Linked DNA regions of Drosophila melanogaster. The protein of the gene in region 1 interacts with the protein of each later gene in a pairwise test. Each region holds a gene or a part of one and is shown in the gene's direction. Other genes may lie near its edges.

Region 1 (5,328 bases):
GGCATTCGCCATTCCGTTCGCGGACATGGGTTTGGCGTTGGGCGGAATGCCGTTGCCAGCTCCTCCGGCATTATCCGAGGCATTATCACCCGCCTCGCTGTTATTCTGCTTAACGGCCATTTCGCGTTTCAATCGCTTGGCGTGGGCGTGGACGTGAGTGGCACAAAGGCTTGCGGACCACAGGGCCGACTGGAACTTCCAGTTGCCGATGGGCGGAGGCGTGGGCTTGCCTAGCGCCCGAACACAGCGGCTTTTTCGTTGCCTGCGACTCTGAGCGAGGAGTCTGAGCCGCGTGTCCTTGAACCGCGCTCCGTTACGTGTCGTCGTTACGATTTGACTGCGACCTTTCAACGGGTCTCGAGTGCGCCTCGATCCCTGCCCGATCCTGGCCAGAAACTCCCGCCACAAGCGCTTTAGAACAGAGTCCTAGACGAGTGTGGTGCACGGTAGGGTCGGTGGCCCGTGCCACATCTAAGGCGCCCCTTTTTTCGGATTACCCTGCTCGGCTTTAGCTTCGATTGCTTGCTCACACGTCGCCCGTTCGACTTAATAACCCGAATAGATTTGATTCGCCCTAAAAACTACAATTTTGACTGTTTTAAAACGAATTCTTTGTGATATTTTTCGGATTTGTTAATGTTGTCTACTGAGTCAGTGAAAGCGTTATCGACACGTTCAGACTGAATGACGGGCAGGGCGACTCTGCACGACAAGTCGGGGTGGGTGAGAATGAGGTGGCACAAAATTTGTAATTGCATTTATATGGTGAGTAATACATACTAAACGAAATAATAGTATTTTGATTTATGTTGTTATATTTAGCCCATAAAATAGTAAGTTAGGTCTTACAAACAGCGCTACCAGATCCAGTCAAAATTGAGGAAGCCTGAACGTCTATAGGCCTCCCAAAATGGCGTTGCCATGAAAAATGACAGCTGTTCGCTGCGAATGGCTATTTATGTTTGTTTTGACTCGGCTTTCGAATATATCGCAAAATATATACAGGAAACATTTATATTCACAAAAATCTGTACGATGCACCCAGGGCAAATTGAGGTCAACGAGATCAATGGCTATTGGACATTTCTGCTGAGCGTAAGATACTCGCCTATATACAATCAAAAATCAAGAATCCGGCAAGTTGTCACTATTTTTGCAGATCGATTGGAAGGATCCCTGGCTTATTGGCCTTATTTTGGCGCATATCTTAACCACCACCACTGCGCTGCTCAGCCGGAACAGCTCCAACTTCCAGGTTTTCCTCTTCCTAGTACTGTGTACGTGGACTTGGCGGCTTCCTTGACTTACCCGATAAATGACTCTGATTTTTGCATGTGCTTCATCTTCCTCAGTGCTGGCAGTCTACTTCACCGAAAGCATCAATGAGTTCGCTGCTAACAACTGGAGTTCCTTTTCCAGACAACAATACTTCGATAGCAACGGCCTGTTTATCTCGACAGTTTTCTCAATACCTATTTTGCTTAATTGCATGCTTTTGATTGTAAGTTATAGTGTTTCCACTGCATGAAGTGTGTATTTATCTTTGCTTATTTGCAGGGCACTTGGCTCTACAACTCCACGCAGCTGATGGTGACTCTAAAAACAGCGCAGCTCAAGGAGCGAGCTCGCAAGGAACGCCAGACTAAGGCGGATTCGGAATCCATAGCACATAAAAAGGCAGAGTAGAACTTACGCCTGTATTACATGCAGTTAAAAGCACAAGTAGAGCTGTGAAATTATATGTTATGCTTTAAATGGATTTTCCTGTCATCTAGATGTAGTTTGCTGCACAGCTCTCGTCTTTAAAATAAATTTAATTTAGTATAATCAAACTTATAGAATTTGTAAATTTAGGCTATTTTTACATCCTGTTTTACTTAGCGAAGTTACAAACCTAACATGCCCTTCATATTAAGCAAAAAATCACACCAGTTACCGTTGCCACCTTGGTAAAGCAGTTTTTACTGCCACCTAAAATTTTCTATATATATCACGTAATATGAACTATTTTGATATTTTTGACGAAATTAACATTATAGATCCAATCAGCTTATTGCCTGTATCAATTTCTGATCTGTGTGCCAAGACTGTAATTTCAAATTAGAAGCTCGTTGGACCTGTGTCATTTTTTAGTACGAATTCAATTGGGAGCCCTTCGTCGTCTGGTAACACTGTCCAACGATTTTGTTGTTGCTGGCTTGTGGGTGTCGAAGCAGTGTCGCGGCGCAATGTTGGAAGTGGTTTTTGGGTAAACAAAATCCGTTGATAAGATATTCGCACGGAGCTAATCGCAAATCGCGCTGCGTATTTACCGTTGGCAAGCCAGAAAAAAGTTTTGCATAGCATTGCGGTTTAAAGCCAGGCTCAAAATTCCTGCGAGCTCGCTTGTGTGTGTGCGTTTTTGCCGTCGGTGTGTATGTGTTTTGAGCCCATAAGCGTAGCCCGAAAAAAAGAAGTTTTTCTGTTACCATATTTTTTACCAAAGGCCAAAAGGGCGCAGCATCTTCGCTCTCTATCTCGGCGCTGCATCTTGCTCTCTCGTTCGCTAACGCGAGTTTGGCAACTCCGTTTACCGTTCATCGTTTATTGTGTGTAAACAGCAGGTGAAAATAAAACGCGATAAGTGCAGAGAAACAGGAGAAGGAGGAGAAAGAGCAGCAAGAAGAAGCAGCAACTCCGCGCAGCCCAACAAAAAGTGACGTATTAAAAAAGGTTGCTAATTACAAAAGGTAAACAACAAATAATGTGCGGATTATATTACCAAATTCCCGGGCATAAACAATACCAATAAAATGTTGCTAAGATTGCCCTTCCACCCCCCTCACTTACCCACTGAAATGCGTAGTAGATTTCCGCGATAGGAAAACTCGGATGAGTGACGCGTTGGCGACGCAGCGCACAGTGTTCATTCATAAAAAGTGTCTGCCCCCCTGCGCCCACTCCCAAAACACTCCCCCCTCCCCTCCACACTTTGAACCAAGCCTGTTTGTGGTTGCGCCTGGAATTTAGTTTACAACTAAATATGTTTGCGGGCAGCTAGGAGGAAAGTTCGGATTTGGTTGTTTTTGCTATGTGGGAAACCATAGTTAAACTATTTGCATTCCGTTGGAAAGTCTAGTGGTTCACGCCACGCCCCATGTTCGCTCGTTCACGAAATTATGAAATTGTGTAAATTATATTAAAAAGCTTAACGGGTATATTGATATCTCCTCTATAATACTTCATACAAGATAAGTTTAAGGAACTGAAATGTTTGAAGTTTTAATGAATTTCCTTAACTATTGCGTCTGGTTGACATCCAAGTTCGCATAGTTGAAAAATTCCATATCAAACTGAGCCGCATGCCTTAATAACTAGACCTTTTGCTCATTGAGATTAGATCACATACCGCCATATGGCAGTCGGTGAAATGATTAGCTCAGCGAATAATTAAGCGTCGTGCGAATGAAAAGTCACACACACACACACTGCAACTTGGTGTTTAGATTAGAGCATTTTGTATCTTAGCCCACCTTTGGCAATCGGTGATATCGAATAGCAGGAAAAACAATAATACGGAATTTATGGTCAGCGTGTCGCCAAAATGCCAAAGTCAAGCGAAATAAATACATAGAAATAATGAAAGAAAAAAAACAATCAAAATAACTCGGTGACATCATTTTGACTAATCGCCAATTTTAGCATTTGAAAAACGGCGGCTGCTCGCCCGGCCCACCAACAAGCGCGCGAAGGTGCGAAGGAGAGAGTCCACCAGGGAGGGGGCTGCGAGCGAGTGCGGGAGTGGGAGCGAGAATGAGAGGGGGAACACTCGTGGCAGGTGCGCCAAGCCGAAGTTCAAAACGAAGCTCAAACCCGAATGCCAAGCGGCATTCCGAACCACCTACAAGTCGGCAAGTAAAATGGATCGAATGCTCTTGCGATATCAGCGAGTTTCACTTTCGAGCCCCTCATCTATACACGAATACTATCTGCAATCGGAACAATCACTAGATAATCCCACGATCCAACATTAAGCGCATTGCTTTTATCACAGGTATTAAATCAAAGCCATGCATTTGGAAAAGTGCGCTTGCCATTTGCCAAATTTAAGTGGCTTTAATTGGCTGGTTTTTACGACTCATTGGCATTATGACGATCTTTAAATTTTACGATTAAATGCATAAATCAGGTGTTGAAGTGTAGTGCAAGTGGTTGCTACATATACCCCTACATAAATAGAATCACTCCAGAAAAATATGGCATTCAAGTTGAGTTAACTACTGGCTTGTATTGTAAGCTAAGAAATTGTTAAGTGGTAGCTATTCTCAAAAGCTTGCGCACAGGGGTGCCTTTCTTTAACTCATTATTATATCCATTTATATCCATTACGATCAAATATTCGTTATATATGGAAAATTGCCTAGCCTACCGTGACTCTATTGCCTGCCTGTTGATATTTCCCCCGCGGCAACTTCGATCCGATGCAATTAACTCGAACATATTGTGGCTCATTACGAGGGGCATTCCAATCTGAAGACGAAGCGACTCGATCTAGTTCACAGATACAGAGCTGCATACACGCATCCCACTGGTTATTTCGGTTAATTTTGATGTGTGCTGCTAAGAGCCGAGAGTGCAGAGGACTAGGCACCACTGCTCCACATCCCCAGATATTTCCGACACTACGTGCGCTGCGATGCGACGTGTCGACCGGGTGGGTGGAAATTTGGAAATGTTGTGAAAAGCTAAATGAGGCGTGACACGAAAAAGAAGGCAGAGGGGAAAAAAGAGCAAAGCGACAAACACGCAGAGCAGCATGGAAAAAAAAAGAAAAAAACAAACAAACAAACAGAGCTGAGTGCGGCCACCCACAACATGACAGCCGCCACAACAATGGCCATAGTAGCGTCGAGGAGCAGAACGAGAACGTGGTGCCCACCAAATCTAGCCACGGAGTAATTTCGGCCTAGAAAACAAAGAAAACGAAGAAAACTGCCCAGTTGTCTGCGGAAAAGACAAAGGAAGAATGGAAAACCAAGAGAGCGGAATGAAAAAGGGGGACCAATTCCGCACAAGGCGCACAATTAACCCTTTCTTTGAAGTCAGCGGCGAATGTATCCACTGTCCACTTTCCACTGGGCTTTAATTAGTTTATGGAACAAGCGTCCCGGCTCGGCTAACTGCAATAAAATTAATCGTTTATGCTGTAATCGCATTTAGCGGCGCCGACCTCCTTTCCACTCCTCTCCTCCCTACTCCTCTCCACACCGGATTCTGGCCCGGATTTCCACACCCGCAGTGGCCTCGTTTGATGTATGGGATGTACATACATTTATCGCGGGCGACAAC
Region 2 (5,188 bases), on another chromosome or scaffold:
GCAACATGTGGCACAGCGGGAGGTGTAATACTTGCGGCTAATTTCGAGTTTGTTGCTCTAAGCCCGAAGCATTTCGTATCTGGCTTCCTGGCCCTATGCTCAGCTCACACAAAACTGATGGCCACAGGATAAAACGGGGGCCCAAACAAAACCGCACACAAGCTACCAGCGGTTTACTTGCCCCTCAGCAATTGCTGTTCGAAAAAAAGTGGCACTGGATAAAAAGCATGTTGAACATTCTGTTCTGGCCAAAAACTGCGGGAGCTGCAGTTCAAGAAATACAGCCACTACTTGACTGGAGTTCAGTTAAAGCACACTTCGTGTTTACTATCAATAACTTATTTTATTTACTTTTAAAGTGCTTCTGCACACGTACGTTGGCTTAATCTTTATTTGTGGCTTATTTGCCTGGCTAGCGTGAGCTTTACATTGGCTTAGTTTAAACCTGCTTACCTTGTTATGTGATAAATCTTTTTTGCCAAAACTTTATCTTTACCGGTTTAAATGATAAAGAAGAAATGTTATGTAAAATGGAAAAAAAATATACAATATTTATTAATTAAGAGAATGAAATATTTCATAATTTTTATAAACTTTAATATATAAAACCGATATAAATTTTCAGTGATAGCAGCCACATATCGGGTATCACAGACTCGGGACTCGTTGGAGCATTTATTTTTTATAATTCACTTGAGCCTTGTTAAGACCGCTGGTAGAGCATGGCTAGCATGTGTGTGTTTATGGGCCACCACCTCATCATCAACTCGTGTCCGTTTCCGTGCCCCACACTTCTCGCACCACTTGCAACCACTTGAATTTGCTGCGGTTGTTGCTGCTGTTCGTATTTGCCATGCCATTTGCTGGAGAAATTTTTCTTGATTGCCTCGCCCCCAGCAGTTTGCTTGTTTTTCGCTTATGCGTCGTCATCTTTCCACATCCTTTTACCATTTTCCACGGGTTTTCCCTTTTCCGTATTTATTTTTTACTCTGCTTTTTGTTCTCCTGGCAGACAGTGATTTTGACATTTCACGCGCATTTGTTTGTTATGCTTCTCTGGCCAGCAGCATTGACAGCGCGGGAAAGGTCAACATTTCCCTTTATTTTTTTTTTTTTTGCATAAGTGCGTAAGGCCATGTATTCATAGAAATCGTAGTGGGCCATAATAAAAATAAGGACTGTGGTAGTGGCACGCAGGCTCATTAACATTTGCGAGGCACGTGGCGGGAATGACGCTAACTCAGTTGCTCCCCAGCGTCGCATTCGGCTTAGCCAAATTGATTTTCCGTCCTGCCAACAAAACAATCTGGCACAGCGAGAGAAAAACATAACAATATCAGCATCAGTCACATAACCATTGCCAGTTTTGCATAGCCTTTTCTGTTCATAAGCCAAGGGTTTTATGATCACCAGTTATCCGAATTTCGGCCAATTCGATTGCTCATTTTTATGTGGAAAATATTTATGAATCGATACGTTTATAAAATATAAAGCACATTTATAAATGCAATATCTTTATCTGAGGAACGGAGTCTTTTCTTTTCCGTTTCTAACTCATAAAAACTTAGGGCTTACTTTTTGCAAGGAATACATATTTATTTATGCACAGAATTTTTCTCTGTATTCCCAAAAGGGGAAATAAACATCAGACCAACACAGAATTCCACTCAAAACAATTATGAATGAATGGCCAGAAGAGCGCTCAAACCAGTTAACAGAGCAGCTGTTGCTGTCGAGTCTATGTTAACGCTTTCACTTGGCCAACAGCCGCAGCTTCTGGCAAGTATTCTGGCTTTTAGTCCCACAACAGACGTCGAGGCGAGAACACGCGGCCCAAAAGACGTGCGCATGTCAAGTTGCGAGCTGCGTTTGGTTTTCGATTCGAGCCACATGGCGTATACGCGATACGGTCTGTGCCACTGCCTGCATTGAGTACTGAGTCAATAATGGTCGGTGGTCAGTGCTGCGGCTTTAGTGCGTGCTGAGCTGAGTAGCAGATAATGTGTCAATAATTGAACTGGACAATCGGCATTGCTCGATCCAGTATGTGAATAGCCGACACTCAACTGGAAAGGAACTTCGATGTAAGCATAAATAGCACCCAGAAACTTTAAGTGTTGGTGTAGTAAAAGTGTGAACTTAAAGCATGTACCACTTTAACATGTCTGAAACATGCGTAGGAAACACAAGTTAACAATATTTTCTGCTTTCGACTAAGATAAAGAATTAGTCTTGTTGTTTAACACCAAAATCTGCTTTTATTTAAGAAAAAAAAACGACATCAGTCAAAGAGACAATAATTAAATTTCGAGACACAAAGGCCCCTTATTTCACTTAACCCAATCAATTAGATCAAATAAAATATCAATACAAAATAGATTAAAAGAGGGCGCAGCACCGAAGCAAGTCGAATAAATAAATGCAAATAAAATAAGTTCAAATCGGATCAGCAGAGTGACGTATTTAAATTTCACCAGGGGCAAATCGAGCCGCCACGTAGTTCGACATTCGAGCCGTCATAAGCCGGAATTCGGAGGGGATTGCATTAGGGAAGTTCTTACTTTCTGGTGCCGCTCGAATTTCCCCAGGGCACTTGGGATGCACGTGAGCTCTGTGCCGATGGATTTTCCATTCCGCATTCGCCCCGTTTTCCCGCTCCGATACACATTTTTTTGCGACGTTTGTCAACACCATTTGGCCTCTATTTGATTTGCATATTGCTACCTGTCTGGTTTTCCGAGAAGCCTGTGAACGTGCGTGAAAAGTAAACAGGGGATAGGATGGGCGAAACAAAAGGGACGGCAAACGTGATAAAATAGGTGGAAAAATAGCGGATAAAAAATGAAAACATTTGCCGGAAAACAAAGAAAATTATCTGACCAGATGCCCGGGCTGTCCGTTCTCTCTTCCCCGGGGGAAGAGTAAAGTTGTAATAAAAAATAAAAATAAAACCCGGGGGTCGCCAGTGACAAGTGACAGGTTGCTTGTTTGCCGGGCCGAATAATGTGGTCAGGTCCGTCTGATATGGCCGCCTAATTTGGGAGACGCTTTTATTGTTTGCCCACGGACATGGCGTCATTATCTGCTGGCATTTTTGTGCGCTCCCCATTTGTTTACACGCACTTTTAACGTGTTTATTCGGCCACAACGCAAACTAATTGAAACACACCGGGCGTATACTTATTGTAATGCCCGTGGGCGTGTCACGTTCCACGTGCAATCAGTGGCCGCCTTGAAATCCACTCGTCTGCAATTGCAGTGCACGCTGCACCCTATCACGCCCCCCATTTGCTCTTTGAGGCTTTCACTCGCAGGACCCACTGTCATTTGGCCCTCAATGCCAGCAGCTGAAAGCTGAAACAACAGCTCACTGCTTCCACTATCCGTAGTTCTCGCCCTCGTCCTCATCCTCGTCCTCATCCTCGTCCTCATCCTCGTCCTCGTCATCATCATCATCGCCATCCGCCGTAGTCGCGGGTACGACATATTCGCTCAGCGGTTCACGCCGAGGTTGAGGTTGAGCCGAGCCAAGTGAGTAAGTGAGTGAGTGAGTGCCAGGAGCGGCAACTTGTTTACCTGCCTGTGTTTTAATGAAATGCAAATGCAAACACAGCCGTGAAGCACCATGGGCTCCATAGGCTCAAAGTGGGCCAAAAATAGGTGAAGGATTAACAGCTAGCGGAATCCATTACCGACTCTGTATTTTTGATATTTTATTAACACCTACACAAAATTACATTGAAAACAATTTCTTTTAGAGACCACAATTCAAAAATAAGTATAAACGCAACGAGATAAGCTTGAATATTTAAAAGCAAAGGCAATTCATTATTAAATAGTTTTGAGTTTTATTTGCATACAACCTTGCGGATTTTCATTTAAGTTAAAAACACAGAGCACACACATCAATTTAAGTGGCGGATGTTGTGATTGGTTAGCTGTATAAATTTGAAACAGCAGTGTTTGTTTTCATAAGCCCGCTCGATGGCTTCGCAAGATTGATTGCATCCAGAGAATAGATCGAAATAGACCTCCGAATGTGAACGTAAACACGCCACAGTGCCCACCTGTATCCGCCAGGTAATTTTTCCTGGCCCTCTGCAATGGCACTTAGCGGTAATGGGGTTACTGCCAAGGAGCCGCACTCGCTTGAGAATGTCCCTGATTTTGTACGCAAACACTTCAATTTCCGTGACAGATGACAATTTGCCACAATTGCACATTGCAGTGCAATTAGATTTAGTAAATTTTTAACTCCCATTTGGCCGGCATTAGATTCGTATGTAACACAATTTCATTCATGCCAGTTGGTATTGGCCATCTTGTCCTGCATTCGCATAAATAAATTGGCAAAAGATTCCTTTACGGCCAAGTGGGATGATCTTTAGCCAGCAGCTGGGTCTTAAGTTCACATTGGCACCGGGGTCGTAAAAGCGGATCTAAGCGCCATTTCAAAATTGCCTGGGATTGACCGCCATCGCGCTGGATTTTGACTTAAAGTGCCATTCGGATATGCATTAAATTTATGGCAATACATTAAACTAAATACTCCTCATCGAAGCTATCAAAGGTGCCGCAGCGGAAATTGAACGTGACAAACTTATGAAAAGCGCTAAAACATGTTGGCCTAAGCGGCTTTTTATGACAGATACTCAATTTCCTAATGGCACCGGTGGACGCAACCGAGGTTGGTAAAAAAAGCAACCAGATTTGTATCTAAATATTGGCATGCCATGCTCGACAAGTTTAAAGTTTTAATTAAACAAGTACGACGAGGCTAATTACTGCATTATGATAAACAAAACAGAAAGAGCACTTTAGACTTTCAGCTAACTTTGTAATAATGTCCAGGATATTAAGCTAGAGATAAATATTATTGTGCACTTAAAGTTAAATACACATTAAAGTTACTTGCGCATTGAGTTTTAAGCCCAAGTCAAGTCAAACCGTCAAGGATAACGTCAAATACTTGTGTCCTTAAGCCGAACTGGGAGAGTTCGAAACTTTTCCAATTCACTTAGTTCATTAACTTGATTCATCGGCAAGTGAGTTGCCCGAACTCCACAAATGGTAATCAACTGGCATTGATTGCTCATTTTTAGCAGGTTCTGGTCCTGTGCCAAAAACCCGGATCTCGCTTAAAGCTTTGGATTGCAATCCAGCTAACCCATTGACCTTGGCCGGAAAC
Region 3 (6,929 bases), on another chromosome or scaffold:
GTCTAGATGGATATAGTATAACCATGCCATAGTGTATGCCATACCATAGGACACCAGCTAACGCCAACCCAACCCAAGCCAACCCAACGAGGATATGGCATGATGATATAGGGGCAGACGACGTGGAACGGGTAGTAGTTTTCAAGTGGTGCAGAGCGGCACAGAACGCTAATTAAAAAGATACTTGATGGGAGCCACCGGAAACAAAACGGAAAAGCCAAAGAAGCGAGGCGGGCAATGCGAAAAAATGCGGGAAAAATGGCTGAAATGCGAATGAAAGGCAAAGGCGAATGGGATGGCAAGCAAGTTAACGTTGCCATGAAATCGTCTATGAAATGTGAATGTAATCTAATGAATAAAATGCATCTGCTAACCCCCATCATGCCAGCCACTTGCAGATACAGATAGATGATGGATGATTCTTTCACCGGTTTCCTTCGCGTTTTTTTTTTTTTTTTTTGATACCGCAAATTCTCACATTCATGCGGTTCATTTGCGCAGCCATTGAGATTTGAATGGCATTTTTAATTGGTACATTTTACGCAGCCATCCTTTGAGCACAAAGGCACCTCCTGCTCCACCAGCCCTTCTCCTTTGAGCTGGCCATCATTCAATTTGATTTGTATTTATTTAATGAGTTATTAATTGCATTAAGCTCTCGGCGTTGGAGAACTTTGCAACTAAAAAAAAAAAGGAATAAAGCCGGGAGAGTGGGGAAAAGTTTTTCGGCTTTTGCTCGCATTCAGGCTGAAAACTACGAAACTAAAGAGTTCGTACAATTTGCAGCTTTGAAAAAAAAACAACAGAAAATGCTAGTGCCAAAAGTGTAGCATACTTTTCTGCGCACTTTTGCCTGTGATTATGAATTTGGGTTTGGCCGACTAAAGAGGCGCGAGAACTTCAAGACTAGCCAAAACTATTAGCAAATCTAAATCTAAATTATATTTCCAAATTCCAAATTCCATCTTTCCATCTTACATTTGTTGCCTCTGTTACTTCATACATTTAAAATGGTAAGCAGCCCACGTAACATAAAATTATATTATATATATATATATAAATAAGTAAATAAATAGCAAGGTGTCAGAAATACAACATAAATATTCTTGAGATCTAAACAAATTGGACTTGTTAAAGTAATGATTGTTTTGGGCCGCATAAGTATTGTAAAATAATAAAGTTACCACAGAAGGCACTTGACTTTGGCCATGAATGTACTCACTTTACTCACAGGGGAGGAACTGTCAGTTACTCCCTGCCATTATATACCAATTTCAATTTAAATTCCAGCCTGCTGTGGCCCATCCGCGGGGCAGAAACAAAAATATATATATATGCATGTATATAAAAATAAAGGAAAAAAAATAGAAGTGAAGTTCGGAGAAACCGCAACAGCAATTCTCGACATAATGATTGTGTTGAGGGGCGATTATGTCATCATGGATGGGCAGGGCAAAAGGACTCGACACACTTGACTTCCGGTTGGAGGATGGCTGCGAGATGTTTGCCATATTGTGTGAAAATTTGTGTTTTCCCCCGTCCACTGCAATTGGCGGTGGTGGTTTCTCGTCTCGTTTTTGTGATTAAAAATGTTTGTCATTATCCGCTTGGAAAATCGTCCGAAATTGTGTTTGTGCCGCGGGCCGTGCCACACTTGCTTATTTCAAATCTGGCATCTTTATGCCTAATTGCCGCATTGTGTCCCATTGTGCGGCCATCGAACCTGTGGATTGAATCGAATCGGATCGAATCGAATCGAATCGTCTCACAGTCTCAGCCTCGAACCCCGACTGAGCCATACAGGTTGCCTCTGGCTAAGAGTCCATGGCTAAGGGAAAGCCACTGACTATGGCTTTCCATCGATCAGTTGCAATTTGTTGCAAAAGCGAATAGTGGTCAGCGGAATAAAAAAGATACCCATTGAAATATTAGTGAGCTCCTTGATAATTTGCTAATAATTGACGAGGAAGTGAGAAGTAATTTCATTGTACAAGTGAAGTATTCTTCCGCCAAGCTAAACATTTCATACAAAACGTACAGGTATGTCCAGTTTTAATTACATTCATTACGATTCCTGCCCCTTTTGTATATAAACTTTGAGATCCCCATCCATGGGGATGAACTTTATGAGACTCCTGAGCTCCTCGAACTGCATCTAGATATTTTAGAATTTTTGTATCTTTTCGTTTGATTGCTAATGATATAGTGAATCTCAAAGCATTCTCGCTTGTGCCCACCAGGAGCATATTGATCTCAAGGATTCGCTTGAACTTCTGGCACTGATCAAAAAGATCCCAAAGCTTTCTTTTTTGAGTTTTTCTTTGGTGCAATTTCCAGGTCATCACTCTCTTTCACGCTCCTAAGCTCCTAGAACTATCTATATCTATATATTTGGAAATTTATGTATATCTTTTTTTTATTGCTAATGATATAGTTATTAGAGCATATTGATCTTAAGGTCAAAAATAGTCCTAAGCTGTTTAAATAAAGGTTAAAGTTGGCCACAGCACTTACATATACATACATACAGGAAACTCTGTAAAACATGAAATTCTTTATTACTTGGGCACTTTTTCTTCATTACCCCCATCTTGCAAATTCTTTAAAACTGTTTCTAGTTACACAACGCATATAATTAATAGAAAATCAATATGTTTACCTTACCGAAAGAAATTCGCTTAGTATCATCAGGGCCGACAGAAATATTAGACTTATTTTCTTTGCAAGGGTCTATTCGATTTCTTATGTCGCGTCTTGCAAAAGTGGCTAATTCTCAGATGACATTTCGTGATAATTGGTGGGTGGAACGGTTTGGATTCCACTTGCACTGTGGCTATCATTTGTATACATACATCATACTTTCCAATTGTGTAAACAACAACTTCATTAGTAAACAAAAAGTTCGCTGGGTGGTTACAGAACGCAAATCCTAAGCCCGAAAACCGATTCCCTTTCAAATGCCACAAATCAGTAAATAATGACATGAAAATCTGTTGGCTTTTGTCAGGCCCCGCGGCCTCGAAGACCGAAAAATGAAAAAGTTAGTTGGATGGGGGAGGGTTTTCGGTTGCAAAAGTGTTGAGACAAGTGGGGTGGACAATTTGCCTTAAATTAGGCGTAAAATGCACAGATTGGTTACAACAAACAGCGCACACAAGCGGCTCATCAGTTCGGTCCACCCTCAAAAATTAAAGGGTAGCTACTTGCCACTTGTCATCACCATCTTGATTATTATTATCATCGCCATCCGACGGGAACCGGATATGATTGTTAGTATCTATTAGCACAGTTGAACCTCCAAATGATGGTTCCATAAATAATAATACCAGTCTTGTCATTTTTTTTTTTAAGTAAGATAAATAACTACAGTAAAATTTTTCTTATGATGAGCAAAAATACTCAAATGGAAAATGTAAACATCTTTTCAATCTTGTAGTAAAATAAAAATGTAAGCATCTTTTCCACTTACGGATGTTTGACTGTAATTGGCCTGGTCTGCGTTTCCCGTTCAACTTGCTGAACAACCCTCGCTAATTGAGCACTTTTGTTGCGTTTAATAGAGGGGGATTCTTGGGTTTTTACACTTGACGTAGATTTTTAGCTGGACGCTGATATAATAGATCATATTATGCTATAGATGTTCCCAGTTGATTAGCATACAATCGCTTCGCAAGCAGTGGCAGCTAAATTGAGGTTATGTTTGCAAGCAGTTCAGAAAGAGAGGGTTATATGTTGCCTACCCCTTTGCCATTTAAATTTGATCAACAAATACATGTGCATAATTAAAAACAAAAAGGAGAGCATAACACACACACACACACACACAGAGAGATTGCAAAAAAGTTGTTAATCTTTTCATGCCGACGCATAATTAAAATGTGAATATGGAAATTTCAATAGGAATCTGTGCAAAAAATGCCCCAAAAAAATAAAGGGGGCGATAAAAAAGCAGAAGAGCAGAAAGAAAAGACCAAGCAAAGGACGCACAAACACACACACACACACAGAAACTTAACGGTTTCCTGCTGTTATGGCCATCTTGCTTGCACCTCTTGCGCTTTTTACCGCCAGTTCGTTTGCGTGCGTGTGTGTGTGTGTGAAAGCAAGTAATTGCGAAATATGAAATATGAATGCATAATGAGCAGATATTCGCCAAGTGTGCAAGAAACTTGAAGCGGCGATGGGCGTGGCAGGTGGAAAAGTGGGAGTCGGAAACGGAGGCCAGGTGACTTTTATGCTAAAATGCGCACATCGCGCGTGCATTTGCATTTTGCCAGCCTTTTCGAAAGCAGTGCAAGGACAAGCACAAATACACACAAACAAAGGCGGGCACACACACAGGCAGGAAAAATCATAACTACAGTAAGCGTCCGATAGCAGCGACTCCTCTAAGTCCTTCAATTTTATGCGATTCAACTAGAAGTTCAACACAAAAGTGTATTTTGTCTAAAAATGAACATAACTATATAATTATAATATTTTAATATATTATTACAAAAAATTAATTTTAAATCATGGAAGATGTACATAGGTTCAAGGTTCATGAATTCAAATCAAAAGCTTCATAGTTAATTCCTAGACTTTTCAATTAAAAGTACCCACTTGCTGATTTCACTGTACTCGGCTTGGCCAAGATGGCAGCCAAGTGTGTTTGAAAAACATGTCAAAATGTTGTGGAGCTCATTAAAATAGCGTTGGCTATTTGCACACATCATATCTTTCAGTCACTAATTTGTAGAAGGAGGAGGAGAAGGTGAAGCAGCAGCAAATCCTTGAAGGCGCCTTTTCCCTGTTCAAAAGTAATGCATAACTCCCTTTTTCCAGCTTTTTCCTCAGATAAAATGGCAGAATACAACATGAGCCACATGGTGCGACCCCAGGGATTCAGTTTGGAAGAGCTGCGTCAGACTATGAGTCGATCGGCGATTCGGGAACAATGCTACTTTATTTATGCCACCGGCAATATTCTGGAGGTGATCCATATTCATATCATAATCACATTATCTAATTTATTCACATGTTCCGTTAGATTATATCTGGTTTTGATGAACTGCTCAACCAGGAGGGGATCCAATTCGGAGCAGATAAACTGGCTGCGGTGTATGTATGCGGTTTGATGGTTTATCTACTCCATCATGAGGACACGTCGGCCACCCAGGTGAAAAGAACTCTTTTCCTGCAAAAGTGCTTCAATTATATGGCATGCTCCGAGGAAAGCCATGTGAGTAAGCATATATATGTTTGAAATATATATTTTTTGATCCTTCCCTTTCTTTGCCCAACAGATCCACCAGGTATGCGTCCATGTCCTGGGTCTCTTGGATATCCAGAGTTCGAGCACAATGCTCAACCTGATCCTCGGCTGCCGCGTGGCCAGTCCGCTGTGCACAATGGCCAGCGTTGTGGCTAACTGTCTGCTCTGGGCCATGTTGGATCATATGTCGGACTTGGGCCTGGACTTGCACCGATTGCGTCCGGCTAACACACTGCTGCTCGTCGTTGCCGTGGTGAAGCCGCATATTTATGTAATATCCTATTTGCATTCCCTGCACCTGGTGGTCCGTTTGATATCCAGCATCCTGCTGATCGGACCATTCAATGCCCAGGGCCAGCAACTGTGCCAGGAGACCGATGTGCCGGAGGATTATATGAAACTGGCCAGGGACGATTGTTCGATATTAGTTCGCTGGCTAATCGCGATCGTTGATGAGCTGCGTCCGCTGATGGTGGAGAACAACGATTTGGGGCATCTGCATGAGCGCCTGGTGCTTTTGGAGTCCATATGTGAGCTTATGCAGCTCTTGCATGGCCATTTGGTTAAGTGTTACCAAGGCAAAAGTGGACCACAATGTAAGTAATAGCGAACGGAAACAAAGAAATCTGTTATAAATTCAGATACTTTGATGAGAAGAGAATTGAAATCTTCAATAACTTAACCTAACCTTTGAAACTTATTTCAAGAAACAATCGCATCGTATATATATGCAATCAACGATTTTATTATACACAATAAAAAGGCTCTAGCTTTAACTATAAAGTTACGAGGAAAACTCTAGATTTTGCAATTTTAATGATGCTACTTCTAAAAATGCAAGCACTTAGTGATTTGAATATTTCGTGTAAGCGTAAAAAGCTCTGGTAATAGTCCTCCTGAACTATGTAACTATTCATCCAAAACGGAATCCAGCCATTCCTCCACACCGTTTTTGCTTGCTGCCGATGAGGGTGTGGCCGGCTGCACCATAGGCATTGGCATCGTAATGGTTCCAGAGCCTATATCCAGTTGCGTATCGGTCATGGCCAATAGCTCGTCAAGTTCATCAGGTTCAGCTGCTGAGGCAGCAATTGGTTTTTCCGCCGCTGCAGGGGCAACGTCCTTATTGGACTTAGCAGAGGGAGCTCGCGACTTGGCGCCCCCATTGGCGTCCTTCAGAATGCACTGCTGGTAAACTGCCTCAGCCCGTTCGGCGGCCTTCTCTTGGGCGGCAATCTGAGCGCGGGTGAACAAAGACGCCGGATAATCCATACGCTTGTATAACGGAATCGTTTGCAGACCCACATTTAGGCGGGTGAGGTTCAGGGTGAAGTAAGCACTGGCAGCCTTGGTGTGTAGCTTGGTCTGGCCCTCGGCCACGTTGGCCCATTCGCGCTCTGACCCAAAGGTGAAGTGGCCGCCACCGAGGCTGGGAAACTGGGCCAGCTGCTGGAAATCGCCAGCTCGTAACTGGGCACGGGCATTCTCATCGATGGGTGCACCATCCAGGCCCAATTGCTCCACATCGTCGGTGTCGCTGGGCAGGGTGTCCAGCATGTCCCTGTTCCGTTGCGGTGCCAACGATGAGCGGCCTGCTCCACTGGACTGCCAATTGCCACGCCTGGCCAACCTTGGCTCATCGCTCGAGTCCGCCACATCAACCATGCTGCGACGG

What was found. Proteins that work in one complex are often made in the same cells at the same time.
Region 2: the proteins of Dyb (region 1) and dcma interact in a two-hybrid assay, tested with the Drosophila melanogaster proteins (one large-scale study listed by BioGRID).
Region 3: the proteins of Dyb (region 1) and CG15728 interact in a two-hybrid assay, tested with the Drosophila melanogaster proteins (one large-scale study listed by BioGRID).

The regions. Positions count from the first base shown.
Region 1 is NT_033778.4:12,435,162-12,440,489, forward strand, and holds the start of Dyb (dystrobrevin), read left to right. Parts: upstream 1-2,183; 5' UTR 2,184-2,228; coding exon of another isoform or gene 2,229-2,248; 5' UTR 2,249-2,729; intron 2,730-5,328. Other genes in the region: DUBAI (deubiquitinating apoptotic inhibitor), read right to left, coding at 1-120; Tmem18 (transmembrane protein 18), read left to right, coding at 1,036-1,095, 1,160-1,277, 1,353-1,501, 1,558-1,686.
Region 2 is NT_033779.5:4,692,908-4,698,095, forward strand, and holds the start of dcma (decima), read left to right. Parts: upstream 1-1,813; 5' UTR 1,814-2,084; intron 2,085-5,188.
Region 3 is NC_004354.4:12,622,392-12,629,320, forward strand, and holds CG15728 (uncharacterized protein), read left to right. Parts: upstream 1-1,900; 5' UTR 1,901-2,040; intron 2,041-4,701; exon of another isoform or gene 4,702-4,753; intron 4,754-4,824; 5' UTR 4,825-4,841; coding exon 4,842-4,973; intron 4,974-5,029; coding exon 5,030-5,221; intron 5,222-5,285; coding exon 5,286-5,858; 3' UTR 5,859-6,054; downstream 6,055-6,929. Other genes in the region: Aven (apoptosis and caspase activation inhibitor), read right to left, coding at 6,164-6,929.